Neurospora crassa OR74A: one gene and its partner. Each later gene encodes a partner of the first gene's protein in a complex. Links are inferred from orthologs where the notes say so. Each region holds a gene or a part of one and is shown in the gene's direction. Other genes may lie near its edges.

The links. The genes of interacting proteins can lie anywhere in the genome.
Region 2: NCU04155 (region 1) and NCU00812 share a complex: the UniProt entries of both Schizosaccharomyces pombe proteins name them as parts of the RNA exosome complex. The link is inferred for Neurospora crassa OR74A from reciprocal best matches to the Schizosaccharomyces pombe genes csl4 and rrp41.

What each region holds. Positions count from the first base shown.
Region 1 is NC_026505.1:5,016,938-5,023,059, reverse strand, and holds NCU04155 (exosome component 1), read left to right. Parts: upstream 1-2,299; 5' UTR 2,300-2,604; coding exon 2,605-3,078; intron 3,079-3,152; coding exon 3,153-3,323; 3' UTR 3,324-3,954; downstream 3,955-6,122. Other genes in the region: C-8 sterol isomerase erg-1, read right to left, coding at 1,002-1,339, 1,427-1,859; NCU04154 (hypothetical protein), read left to right, coding at 4,585-5,733. UniProt on the Schizosaccharomyces pombe protein: Non-catalytic component of the RNA exosome complex which has 3'->5' exoribonuclease activity and participates in a multitude of cellular RNA processing and degradation events.
Region 2 is NC_026501.1:7,076,218-7,082,914, reverse strand, and holds NCU00812 (exosome complex exonuclease RRP41), read left to right. Parts: upstream 1-2,991; 5' UTR 2,992-3,598; coding exon 3,599-3,906; intron 3,907-4,015; coding exon 4,016-4,529; 3' UTR 4,530-4,829; downstream 4,830-6,697. Other genes in the region: NCU00811 (hypothetical protein), read right to left, coding at 1-622; NCU00813 (disulfide isomerase), read right to left, coding at 4,830-6,194, 6,272-6,421. UniProt on the Schizosaccharomyces pombe protein: Non-catalytic component of the RNA exosome complex which has 3'->5' exoribonuclease activity and participates in a multitude of cellular RNA processing and degradation events.

The sequences.
Region 1 (6,122 bases):
GAAATCACCCACTCCAATGATATCGTGATCTAGTCACACTCGTGTTCACCCATTTTGCCTTATTTATGTAGCATACCTTCCTTCAGGAGAAGAAGAGATCACAGTGGGCAACATGCCAGACTCTAAAGGCGTTGTCCATGGAAAACGTAACCCTCAGTGCTTGTATGCTTTCCCCAAAAGAAAAGTTGATGAAATTGGAATAAATCGAATCGTCATTTGTTCGTAAAACCATTCATCTTCGTCCAGCTTGTCGTTTCGCCGTCCCGTCTCGCGGCGCAGTGGCGTGGTGATGGACTGGCTACTTTGGCCGAAGTAAAATGAGGATAACAGTAAACCGAGGTATAGCCAGCTGTCATCGTAGGAAGGGGGGAATAGACTACTTGGTGGCATGAAGTCTAGAGCAGGAGATAGGCGTGCTGAGAAATGCCGAGGGAGTGTACACATGGATGTTAGGAATCGTGATGTTTGCGCGACGGCGGTTCAGGGGTTACCTAGTGATGTATAGATATGTAGAAAACATGGGCACGGACATGAGCACTTTGCCGAAGAGAGAAGTGAAGAGAGGAGTGAAGAGAGGAGTGAAGAGAGAAGTGAAGAGAGAAGTGAAGAGAAGAGAAGACAAAGCACCAATACAGAAGTCTGTCTGGAAGCGAGCGGGTCAGCTGTACTAAACCAGAACACAGGTATAATAAAGCCAACCCGTGCATTCTCTACGAAGGTTTGTGACAACTACCTCAGGGCAAGGACTCACCAGCGAATGTGCAAACAGAGGCGACGAACATTTCCAAAAGAGAGTATCTTTGTAGTAATGTTTTGACTACGTTACCGTAGATTGTGAATATAGGTATGGATATATCTTGATCTAACCCAAACTCCGGTCTAGCGTAGACGCCGCTTGTGCCGAGAAGCCTTATCTCTACTCTATATTCTATCCCATGGTTTCCAAAACCTTCGTAAGCAAAACACCCTTCGCGAAGGGGACAGTTCGTAAAGCACAATGCTTAGAACTTGCCCTTGAGCAAGTTGCTAATCATCTCGCGGCCGGTGATGACGGAGGTGCGCCAGAGGGTAGGGAAATCGAGCGTGCTGCTGAGGGTATCGGCATAACCGAAGAACAGCATGGGAGGGATCCAGCCGCGCGCATACTCGAGCGCGAAGCAGCTCTCGGGCATCCTGTACTGCTTGACGGTACCGCGGACGAGGTGGTGAACGGAACCGGGAGGGTAGACCTCAGGCTCGTACTCGCCGGGGACGTAGGCAGTCTGAGTGCCGGTGAGGATGTGGAAGTAGTCGTCGGCGGTGTGGCGGCCGGTGTGACCCTCAGTACCGATGGCAGTGCCTGTTGTGTGGAGTGTGCTGTTAGTGATGGGTCTGAAGAAGCGGGAAGCACAAGCTTGCGAAACGCGTGCTGGAGGATGGGGCTTACCAAAGATAATCAGGTACTCGGTGATGGAGGCGTGGATGATGTACATAGCACCCATGGCACCACCAGCGTTGTTGAACACCCACTCCTCATCGTTGTTGACGTAGGGCGCAACGCCGTTGCGGTCGTTCAGCTCGTCGACAATGTACTTGACAATAGCCTTGGTGTCGTTGCCGTGGGCGCTGATGGCGCGCTTGGACAGATCGTGAAGGTGCTCAGTATCGAAGACGTAGAAGGACTCGAGACGCTGCTCCAGGACGTAGGCGATAGGCGCAACTAGGGCGAACAAGATGGCGAAGAACTTGAGCCAGCCACCGATACTGCAGCGGCAGCGGCAGCTGCAGCGGCAAGACGAACCGGAGGAAGAGCGGCCGGAGCTAGAGCCAGAGCCGGACGGCTTGTTGCCGCCGGAGGAGGACTGCTTCTTGGGAGGCATTGTGACGGTTTGTGATTGACGAGACGGCACAATGTCGAGGAGGAGAAACAGGGGAGAGAGAAGACGGGAATCTTGAATTATAAAGAAGCAAAACAATGGCCACAGAGATTCCACCACCGACAGGGGGGTCCGTCAGCCCAACCTCAACAAACCTACCCACGGCAACCCCTGATTTCCTTGTGGAGGACCCTTGTGGTTGCAACATGCCCGCCCAGGCGGGTGTTGCGACTTCCGACACGTTCGATTTTGAGAGCTTTGACCAATAAGGACGCTCAATTGCGCGGATAGCGTTAAACCGATTTCTTGAAGGAGCCACCGCTACGACCAATTGGAGGCAGACACACCGGCAGGCTGGAGTGCATCCAGAAGCTCCGTAAAGCTCCCCTCGCCGGCAGGGCAGCTCAAGTTGCCCGGCAGCACTGTCGGTGCAAAGCACTCAGCGCGGCACTAACAGCGCTCTTGGCACTGACAGGGGTTTCTATTTTTTCGGTGCCCCTCCGTCATTGAGTCCCGTCCGCGGGCCCGGTCAATCACATTTCAATATTCCATCGAATGGACATTTACCTCCACGTACCAGAAGCTCCAATCTCAGTTGTTATCGCCGCGGGGTCCGTTTTGTCGCATCGTTATCTTTTTTTTGTTTAGTTTCCCTCTGCGCGTCGCACCGCGTCTCATACTATACCACTTTTACCCATTCGCAAACTTTTGTCATCGATAGCTCCATCAACCTAGAACGACCGACACAATGGCGAGCACATCCTCTTCCCCTTCGATGGCCATCCCCGGCCAATTCCTAGGCCCTGTCTCCAAGTTCCAACCCGGTCCTGGAACCCATATCCACGAGTCGAACCTCTACTCTTCGCTGCTCGGCGTCGTCAACATCACACAGCCCGCCAAGGCGCCTGGCCCTGCTAAGCGCTTGAACAAGATCATCAACACCCAGACCACGCCCGCCGAGCTACCGACCATCTCGGTATTGCGTTCAGCGGGTTCGTCAGACAAGCGCGAGGTGCTTCCTGAAGTGGGCAACATCGTGCTATGCCGGGTGATTCGCATCATGCCGCGCCAAGCCGTTGTGGCCATTCTAATTTGCGGCGATACTGTTTTGGAGGCCGAGTGGCAGGGCCTGATCAGAGTGCAGGACGTGAGAGCAACAGAGAAGGACAGGGTAAAGATCTACGACAGCTTCAGGCCTGGAGATATTGTCAGGGCCGAGGTGGTGAGTGCTCTTCTCCTCTCCCTTTCTGCCAGACATGGACTGAACACTTCCGCTAACGTGCTGCCACCCACTAGATTTCTCTTGGTGACCAAGCCAGCTACTACCTGTCGACAGCGCGTAACGAGCTCGGTGTCATCATGGCGACAAGCGAGGCCGGTAACACCATGTACCCCGTCAACTGGAAGGAATACAAGGACCCTGAGACGGGGCTAAGCGAACCCAGAAAGGTTGCGAAGCCCTACTGAAGTCGGCGGATGGAGTTTCGAAATGAGACATGAAAAAGATGCTTGAAAAGCAATGCATAGCGGAGTTACTAGCTTGAGGTACAGCGTGTTATCAAGGCGATACGGGCGTTAATCTGCTCGGAGAGCTCGCCGAGTAGTGAAAGCAGGTGCTCAATCAGTACCCGGTTGGGGACTTGCAAATGCGGCGGCACGTCGAATGTCGAGCTCTCACGGTCCGCCGGTCCATCATCGACACGGTCGGCCACTCGCATCACAAGCAAGCATCCCAGCGACAAATCCAAGCCCAGAGATGTCCTGGCCCCAGAGTTTCCGGCGGATACTCCAGGTACGCCAAGTTAGACCGCGCAGAACATGGTCTTGGGTGATAGGGCTCGCACTCAGAGAAGTATGGAGATGGGTACATGTCACGATTCACTCTTGACACAGCGGAACAACACAGTCATGATACAGCGCCTGTTTCAGGGATAACGAAGACGATGGCGAGTTAGTATGATCTTGTCACGTCGAGGAAAGATATAGTGACGCCAGACACGGCTACGCCTGTCATTGCATCAAGAAACTGGATACCCGTTTAAAATCTGCATAGAAGATACCAATAGCCTTCTTCATACGTACCTTACTATTCCCTTGCATACCTAGGTACATACCTCATCTGTTGTCTGTGCCGTCATCCGCCGCCTGGGCCAAACGTTAACGAGTGCTGTTTCTTTAAGGCGGCTCAAGGGCGGCTTGGCGTCTCGTATACCCCCCACATGGGCCTTGCATCGTGCATGCGGTACCTACATACCGCTGAAGATCATCGGAACGGCGGGGGGGCGTAGAACGGGGGAGGGCGGTAGATTCCCGTACGTCACCGAAACCCTGCGTGCCTAGAGGTACCTAGACACATTCATTCCACCCATTTCTTGTCCTCCCTTTTACAGCTTTGTCATTCTTCAAAAAAGGAGGAGGCAGAGTGGGAGCTCTGGCGGCGTGTTGGTTAGCGATCTCACTCAGCGCCCCCCAGATACACAAAACAAAGTCTAAGACGAAAACAACAAGCTCCCTGCCCCTGTTTCAACGGGAACCAGTCCATCCCCACCGCAACGGCGTCTCCATCTAGTTTTCTTGTTCCTGGCAGGAGTCCACTTCGTTCCCGAGAAGAAAATATCGAGATCAGACGAACCGCTTCAATCCATCATCTTTGATTTTCGTCCAATCCGACAAGACGCGCGAACTCTCCTTGTCGATATCATCTGTCCTAACGGGGCCCTGGTGAGCCATGTCAACCACCGCCACCATGACGATGACCGCCGCCCCCGTCATCGTCGAACCGGTCACCCAAACGTTATCTACCGCTCCTTGCTGCCCACAATGCGGTATCGATCTCGAGGGGACCCAACCCTTCTTGGAGATGCAGGCGGCCGTTCTCGATGCCCACAACAAGATCCAAGAACTTCAAAGCCAAGTGCGCCTGCTCAACGAAAAGGCTTCATCCGCCGTCGATCGTTGGGCCGACTACGAAGACGAGATAGCCCAACTACGAGGGCAACTCAAACAGCAGCAGCAACAACAACAACAACAACAACAACAACAACAACAACAACAACAACAACAACAACAACAACAACAACAACAACAATCCCAGTCCTCCCCAGTTGCGTCCCAAATATCATCACCGCAACAACAGCAACAACACGCCGATGCAGCCCTCGCCACCCCTCCCCAATCCGCAACCCCCTCCACCACTGCAACAGCCAACGCCTCCCCCGCCGCCCCTCGCAGCGTCAGCTCCGTCTCCTCCTTCCTGCCCACCGGCGCCGCCTCCCGTCTCTCCGCCTTCTTGACCTCGCGCAAATCAACGCCCAACCTCAAATCCGCCCAATCTTCTACCGGCCCTGTTCCTCATATGCCAACGCACCAATCCACCCTCTCGCAATCGTTCACTCTAAGCAGCCCCCTTCAACAACCGTTCCAGTCCACCTCCCCGTCCCTTCAGCACCAAAAAGAGATCTCCGACCTCCAGGCAGCCCTATCCCAAGAGAAATCCCTCCACACGGAAACCCGCGCCAAGCTAGCCAAAGCCGAAGCGAAACTAACCGCCACGTCGCGTGAGATTGAGGAGTTATCGGTGACCCTGTTCTCGGAAGCCAACGAGATGGTCGCGTCGGAAAGGAGGGCGAGAGCGAAGCTGGAGGAGCGGGTAAAGACGCTGGAGAAGAGAGACGAGCAGAAGAAGGAGAGGCTGGAAATGCTGGAGGGGGCGGTGAGGAGGATGGAGAGGGTTAGGGACGTTTTGAAGGAGACTTCGCAGGTGATGGAGCGGGGAACACATGGGAGTGAAGAGGGAGAAGAGGATAGTGATTACGAGGGGAGGTTACCGGTGGCGGTGATCAGGAGGCAGAACTCCAGGCTGGATCTGGATGATTGACGGTTGAAAGGAAAAAATAGTAATATCTAATGGTAACCTCCGGTGACATACAGGGAAGAATGTTGGTAATCCTAATATAATGTAATGACGGGGATCAGTGGGTATGTAACTTACTTAGTCTAGATCTTGGTTTTGGGCTGGCATCTGGCGGGGGGAAAAAGGGACACCAGGGGCAGGCAGGCAGGCATCATGATGAAATTGCATGGTCGGCAGGGCTTGGTTCTTTGGATATAGACGGAGTCGGGAAGGAGCACACATGGCAACAGCATTTGCTGGATACCTCTAGCACTCTAAGAGGCATGATAACAGTGACCTCGGAATAATCATAACTGCATTAATTTGGGTATACTTTGCTTTATTTCATTTTCGCTTGCTTTGACAATAATGAT
Region 2 (6,697 bases), on another chromosome or scaffold:
TAGTGGTGGGAACCTCCTCGGCAGAGAAAGCGCAGACACCCTGGGTGTTGGCGGCGGCGACGACGAGCTGGGTCTCGCCAGGCTGGAGGGTGAAGACGAGCTGCTTGTTGGTAGCGACCTTGAACATGCCGTTGAGGCCGTGGTTGGAACCCATCTTGTTGCCGCAAACAACCTGGTAGGGCACGTCGGCAACGTTGGTGTAGTACATGCGGTTGTGGTACTTGTCGGCGATGTTCTTGGGGACGGTCATCAAGTTGGAGTTCCACTCGCAGCCGTCAGCGTCGCCGGTGTTGCCAGTGTACATGATCTGAGCGTAGGTGACGCGCTTGGTGTTCTTGTTCTCGCCGCAGAAGGGAATGTACTCGTCATCGGAAGAAGAGTCGTCCCCGGTCGCAGCAGCCGCAGAGGACTGGGCAGGCTCAGGAACGGTGGTGCTGGAAGGAACGGCGACGGAGGAGGAGGAGGGGGTGGCGGCAGGGATGGGGATGGGGAAGTGCTTTTCGGCCTTGTAGAACTTGAGGTCGCGCTGCTGGTGGGCGGCGCGGTGGAGGTGGGCGTGGCCAGAAGGCATGGCCGAGGCGCCGAGGACGCCGGCAAGGACGAGGAGGCTGGTGATCTGCATCTTGTCGGTTTGGATAAATGTTTGTCTAGTTGGAATGGATAGATGGCGCAAAGGATGCTGGGTATATGTCTAGTCTATAGTAGTCGATTGAGATGGGGTGGCCGACGTGGTCTATGTTGTGCAATCAATCCAAGGAGTGTTGGTGTAGCGTGGGACCGCGGTCCAAAGGAATGGCTGCGAGATGGGGATATCTGCGCAAGAGTTGTAGAAAAGAGTGTGGTGAAGCGCAACAAAGGAGGCGTTGTGCGTCGTTGTGGTGTGTTGGATGGAGGAGGAATGAAAATCGCGAGGGAGAGGGAGGAGGGCGTCAAGTGGTTAAAAGAAACGAACGACAGAGCGACAGGAGCTGCCCCTGGTCCACGTTTGTGGTCCCACGGCGCCTGCAGGGGCACGCACACGCATGCGTTCAGGGACCGGCATGCCTTCCACACAGCGCAGTGCGACGTTGCCCGGGGCAGCGAAATGAGGGCCTGGCAGAAATGATCCCTGGCACCTGGAAGATTGGTCTGGACAGGTGAGCCGAGTGGGTCTTGCAGTCCCTGCCACTCGTCAGGGCGGTGATCGTCCCATCTCTCGTCCCTGAGTGGCCAGCAGCGACCCGCCGTCCACGACATCTGCTCAGGTACTTGATGCTTGTGATTGGCTGGCCCCTTTGCTATCCCCCGCCTACATAATTCGCCGGCAGTTCGGTGGAACAATGGAACCCTTCGACGACGCACAAAGGCGTAACGCTGACTTCCAGGTTTGTATTATGCAGCACCTTTGACCCACTGCAAGAATAGGTAGGTCACGTCCAGCTTGCCAAAGTCAAAGAAGCCATTGTTGTTTCGCTGACAATAGACTCGTCATCGTGACCCCATTCGTTGAGTTCCTTTCTCTTCGTTTTCACTCAAAGGGGCCCAAGACAGGACGCACGTGCATTGACTGGTGTTCTGGAGATTAGGTGAGCATGGGGGCGGGAAGGTTCCGTTGCTCTGGCGTCAAGGATAGCAGCGCTAGCCCTGTTTCTCGAAGCCTGGTCGCGGTCGGGTGGTCTGAAACGAGATGAACGGAAACGGGGGCAATGCCAACCAAAGAGCTTTGATCCCTAACACATGTCCGGATTAAGTGCCGCGAAATGTGTTAGCGAGCCCCCTTGGCTAATTCATGGTTCGTTCATCCACAGTTTGATTAAAAGTGTAATGCGAATTGGCGTTGGCGGGTCGTTCCTTGGTAGACTGGGCAACACAGCACTTCCCCATTGCCCCGTTTCTCCGTTCCATTGGACCCCGTGGGCTGGTCGGGCCACCAGCGCAGTAATTCTTCAATGAGTAAGCGCGCACCTCGAGGTTTTCACAGTGAAACGAGAAACAAACCGCGCCTGATGAAACTGTTTAGTTGACAAAGACATTGTGGTCACTGGATGACGACTTGCTCATGGTGGATCTCTGTTCAGTCATATCGATAGACTAGGCCAATTCGTGCTAGCCTGGGCCGGCTGTCTAGGGCTGCATCATGCGCCGACCGACGGCGCCTCCTAGTGTAGAGACTTGATGTTGAACAAGTCTCCCCAAAAACACCAAACGGAATCCTCTTGAACCTTGATCGATTCGCACCCCAGATAGGGAGCTCCAGGAGCATTGGCGAGCGTTCCAGACTTCTAGAACCGGATCACTCTTGGGTCCGAGATGATAGAAGATGACGACGCGCTCAACCGAGGCTTCCAAGAATACAAACCAATTGACATTTCGAACACCCAGCGCATCGCGGTACCCATGAGATGATCTTGGTGGCCGTTGTCCCGTATTCACTTAGCGAAGGGGGGAATGGAGGAATGCCGGTTTCCTCCTTGCTGTTGACAAGGGGTCACTGCCACTGCCACAGTGTGCCCCTGAGTAGAGGTAGCCTACCTACCTCTAGGTAGGCTACCTAGTAGTGATCACTCCTGAGTCCAGACTTCAGGCCCTCTCCTGCTCACAATGCACGATCAAGATCCCATCAACATTGCGCATTCGATTGATATCTTGCCATCAACTCACTGTACCGCTATGAGCTGGAGAGGTCAAATGGGGGCTGTCAAGATCACGTGGAGAGTAGATGGACGGGAACCTTCAATTCCATGTTCCGGGGCCATCACGTCCCGTCCTCTGTCTGCAGCTGCAAACAACTTGCCTACAAGTAGTGTAGAGGTATGCACAGACCACTTGCATGCATTTTCAGCTCCTGATGGAAGCGAAGCAGAACTTAAGCAGAAGCCCTGCGGATGGAACTCCCGTCCTGCCGAGTGAGGTGAGCGGTGGAGCCCGGCACGGCGACCCCGCGAACGTGAGACGCAGCGGATCTTGCCCCGCCCCGCCCAGCTAAACTTTTCCTGTCTTGCCATTGGAAACTTTCGGCCTGGCCCAACCACGTCCGTTTATTCCTAGCAAAAGGCGATTTCAAAGTCAACAACCGTCCACCAGAACCTGCTGTCGATTATTCAGACTGGTCGACCGGAAGCTCCGAATTCCCACTTTGCGCGATAACTTAGTCACTGAAACTGGGGCCCCGACACTTCCGCATTACGCAAGCCTTTCTCTCCTCCGACTCAACGTACCGAGAGCTTGCGCGTCGCTCGCGGCACGATATCGCATCGAATAATCTGTCCCATCGAGCCGAAACTGTACGCACTAACCACGATCTCCCAGATCGAGCTTGGCCGACCCGACTCGAAGAACGACTAGGGTACAACTACAAGCACAACCTGAGCTTGGTGGACACTAAGCAGGGGAAGCAAGAGCAAAAAATCTCGACTCAGGTCCGGCTCCCCAGACAGGCCCTCAGGGCGTTTGTTGTTGTTGATCCTTACTGGATACCGTACCCCAATCTCGACCTTTGGTGTACTCGCTACCTGCCCGGTAGAGAGATTAGCCCGAACCACGATACCCAGAGGAGTAGAGTGAAACGCTAGAACAACAGAACATAGAAAGAAACACCTGTCCACCCAGCTACACCGCTATGCCTCTCGATACTTCAGCATATAGCCTCGCGCTGTTGCGCGTCGACGGCCGCAGGTGGAACGAGCTGCGTCGCATCCATGCCCAGATCCGCACCCAGGCCGCCGCCGATGGCTCCAGTTACCTCGAGATGGGCCACACCAAGGTCATGTGTGTCGTTAACGGACCCAGCGAGCCCGGTCCTCGGAGGGGAGCCACGTCGGGCGGTGGTGGTGGCGGTGGTCAGTCCAAGAACGCCGAGGTTGCTGTAAACATTGTCATTGCCGGGTTTAGCTCGGTTGACCGTAAGCGAAGGGGGAGAGGTGATAAGTAAGTCAAAACACCCAGGGGTTGTTTCCCCCCCAGTGTCAACTACGGCTATTCGTCTGTCACTGTTCGCATAACTAACCCGTCATCCTTCCTTCTTCCATCATCACAGGCACATCCTCGAACTCCAATCGACGATATCTCAAGCCCTCGCTGCCAGCTTACACACCCACCTCTTCCCGCACTCCACCATCAACATCTCCCTGCACGTGCTCTCGCAAGACGGCTCTTTGCTGGCCGCCCTCATCAATGCCGCCACGCTCGCCTGCGTCGACGCCGGCATTCCCATGACAGACTACGTCGCGGCCTGCACGGCCGGCTCGACGTCTACATACGCGGCTAACGACGAGGGCGCCGACCCGCTGCTGGACATGAACCACCAGGAGGAGCAGGAGCTGCCCGGCCTGACGGTGGCCACATTGGGCGACAGCGACCGCGTGGCGGTGCTGGTCTGCGAGAGCAGAGTGCAGGTGAGTCGCCTGGAGGGCATGTTGGCCGTGGGCGTGGACGGGTGTAAGCAGGTGAGGGAGATCTTGGACAGGGTAGTGAGAGAGAAGGGGATAAAGATGATACAGGAGGGCACGGTCGAGAGAGGGGTTGGGTTGAATGACATGGAACTGGATTGAATGGACACTACTGAATCAATGGTTGGGCTCCGGGTCACAGAATCGGATATGGTACGGTAGGTAGCATTACAAAGGCTTGGAGCAAAAAAGAATAGGCAACATGACGAATTTGACGAATTTCACGACTATCAATGTAATCAAAAGTACAGCTCTTGGTCAGGTGAGCAACATGTCGTTTCTGTTAAACGTGCGCCAACTTTTGAAAGCGTTCTCCGAAACTGAAAGGTACCAAAAAACCTTCAACTTTTGACCAGCCATTCACTGACACAAGTCACAGCAAACTACGCTTTCACCAATCTCTCACAGCTCATCGTGACCACTGGCCGTCTTCGACTGGGCCTCAGGCGTCTCCCCCTCCTTTGAAGCAGCCTTCTCAGCCTTACCAGACTCTTTCTTTTCCTTCTTCTTCTCCTCCTCCTCCGTCGAAGAAGCCTCAACAACAATACCCTCCGGCAGCTTTTTCTTGGTGCCCTCGCTCAACCTAATCGCATCAATCCACGCCTCCACCTTGTCATGATCCGAGAAATCATCTCCCTCACCAACAGCGTCGTAGCGTCTCCACCATCCGCGACGGGCGTTGATGACGATGAGTTCAATGTCAGCATCCTCCTTGAGGCCAAGGGATTTGAGAAGGGACGCGCCGGCGGGGTTGGTGTCGAGGGGCACCTCGTAAAAGGGGAAGAGCTTGTGTTGGCCGAGGGCATATTTGAATTTTATTTCGGCGAGGTGGGTGAGGGCCTTTTGGGCTTTTTCGTTGGAAGAGGATACCAGCGCGAGAAGGCAGGTGCTGGATTTGGACGTGAGGCATTCCTTGACGAGCTTTTCGGGGGTGTTGAGGGAGGGGATGGGGAGGGCGGTGTGGATTATTACGGGAATCTCTTGGGTTGGGGCAGGGGTTTCGGAGGACGTTTCAGAGGAGGTTTCGGAGGAGGCGACCTTCTTGGAGTCTTGCTTTCCGTTTTTTTCACCACCGTTGGCCTTGCCGTTGGCCTTACCATTAGCCTTGCCATTAGCCTTGCCATTAGTCTTGCCATTAGTCTTGCCATTAGTCTTGCCGTTGGCCGGTGCTGGGTCCGGATTAGGCTGGGCCGCCTGGGAAAGGAACTCCACCATGGCGGCCTTGTTGATCTCGCCGTCGTACACAATACCAGGGGCATCACCGCCAGGCAACAAGATCAGAGTAGGGAGTTTGTCGACACCGAATGTGGATACCGCCTTGGACTGAGTGTTTCGCACCTGACCGACGGGCATGACACCGAGGAATTCAATGGCGACGCTCTTCAGCAAGGGGGAGGTGGTACCCTTGTCGGTGAAGAGGAGCGCTTTGGCTGTCTCGTTCTTGTCACTCAGGAACTTGTCGAGGTTCTTGTCCTCGACTTTCACGACGTGATTGTTGATGCGCGAGACCACAGCATCGACAATTGCGCTGGCGGTGCGCTGGCCTTGGTAGTCCTCCACTATGGGCTTGCCGTTCTTAGAAGGACGGATGATCTTCAAGGTCGGGAAGCCCTGCACGCCCATGCTGCCGCAAAAGGGCTTGTTGGCGTCCTCATCGCAGTTGACGGCGGCGACCTTGGCCAGGCCTTCGAGGTTCTTGGCAGCCTTTTCGTAGGCGGGCTTGAGGTTTTGGCAGTGGCCGCACCAGGGGGCGTAGAACTCAAGAATCTGCAAGGGAGAGAGGTCAGACACATACATGCATTATTACGATGGCTGATCTAAGATATAGTCGGTCTGGTACTTACAGACGTCTGGTTGCTCTTGGCAATCAATCTATCGTAATCCTTTCCGTCAACCTGCAAAACTGGGGACTTTTTGGTATAAAGGCCCGCCTGGGCTCCGGGGAGCGCAGACAGGATACCAACTGCCAGAGCACAGAGGGTGGAATGATGCATGGTACAGTCAGGAAGGCGACGCTTTTGTTTACTGGGTGACGGTGGTATGTATGTATGGGGGGATGATGATAGATGAGGTTTGTGGGGTTGGAGCTATAATGTCATGAATGTACAATAGCCGATACCAATACAAAGTGTAAGTGAGAACAAAGGAAGCTCTTCCGTATGGGCGTCCTAGGGATTCAGTCCCGTGTGAAAGATGGTGTCGTGTATTTGAAACCCAAGGAAGCAACAAACAGACACACCGATTGAGATGAAAGGAAAAGCTGTCATCTT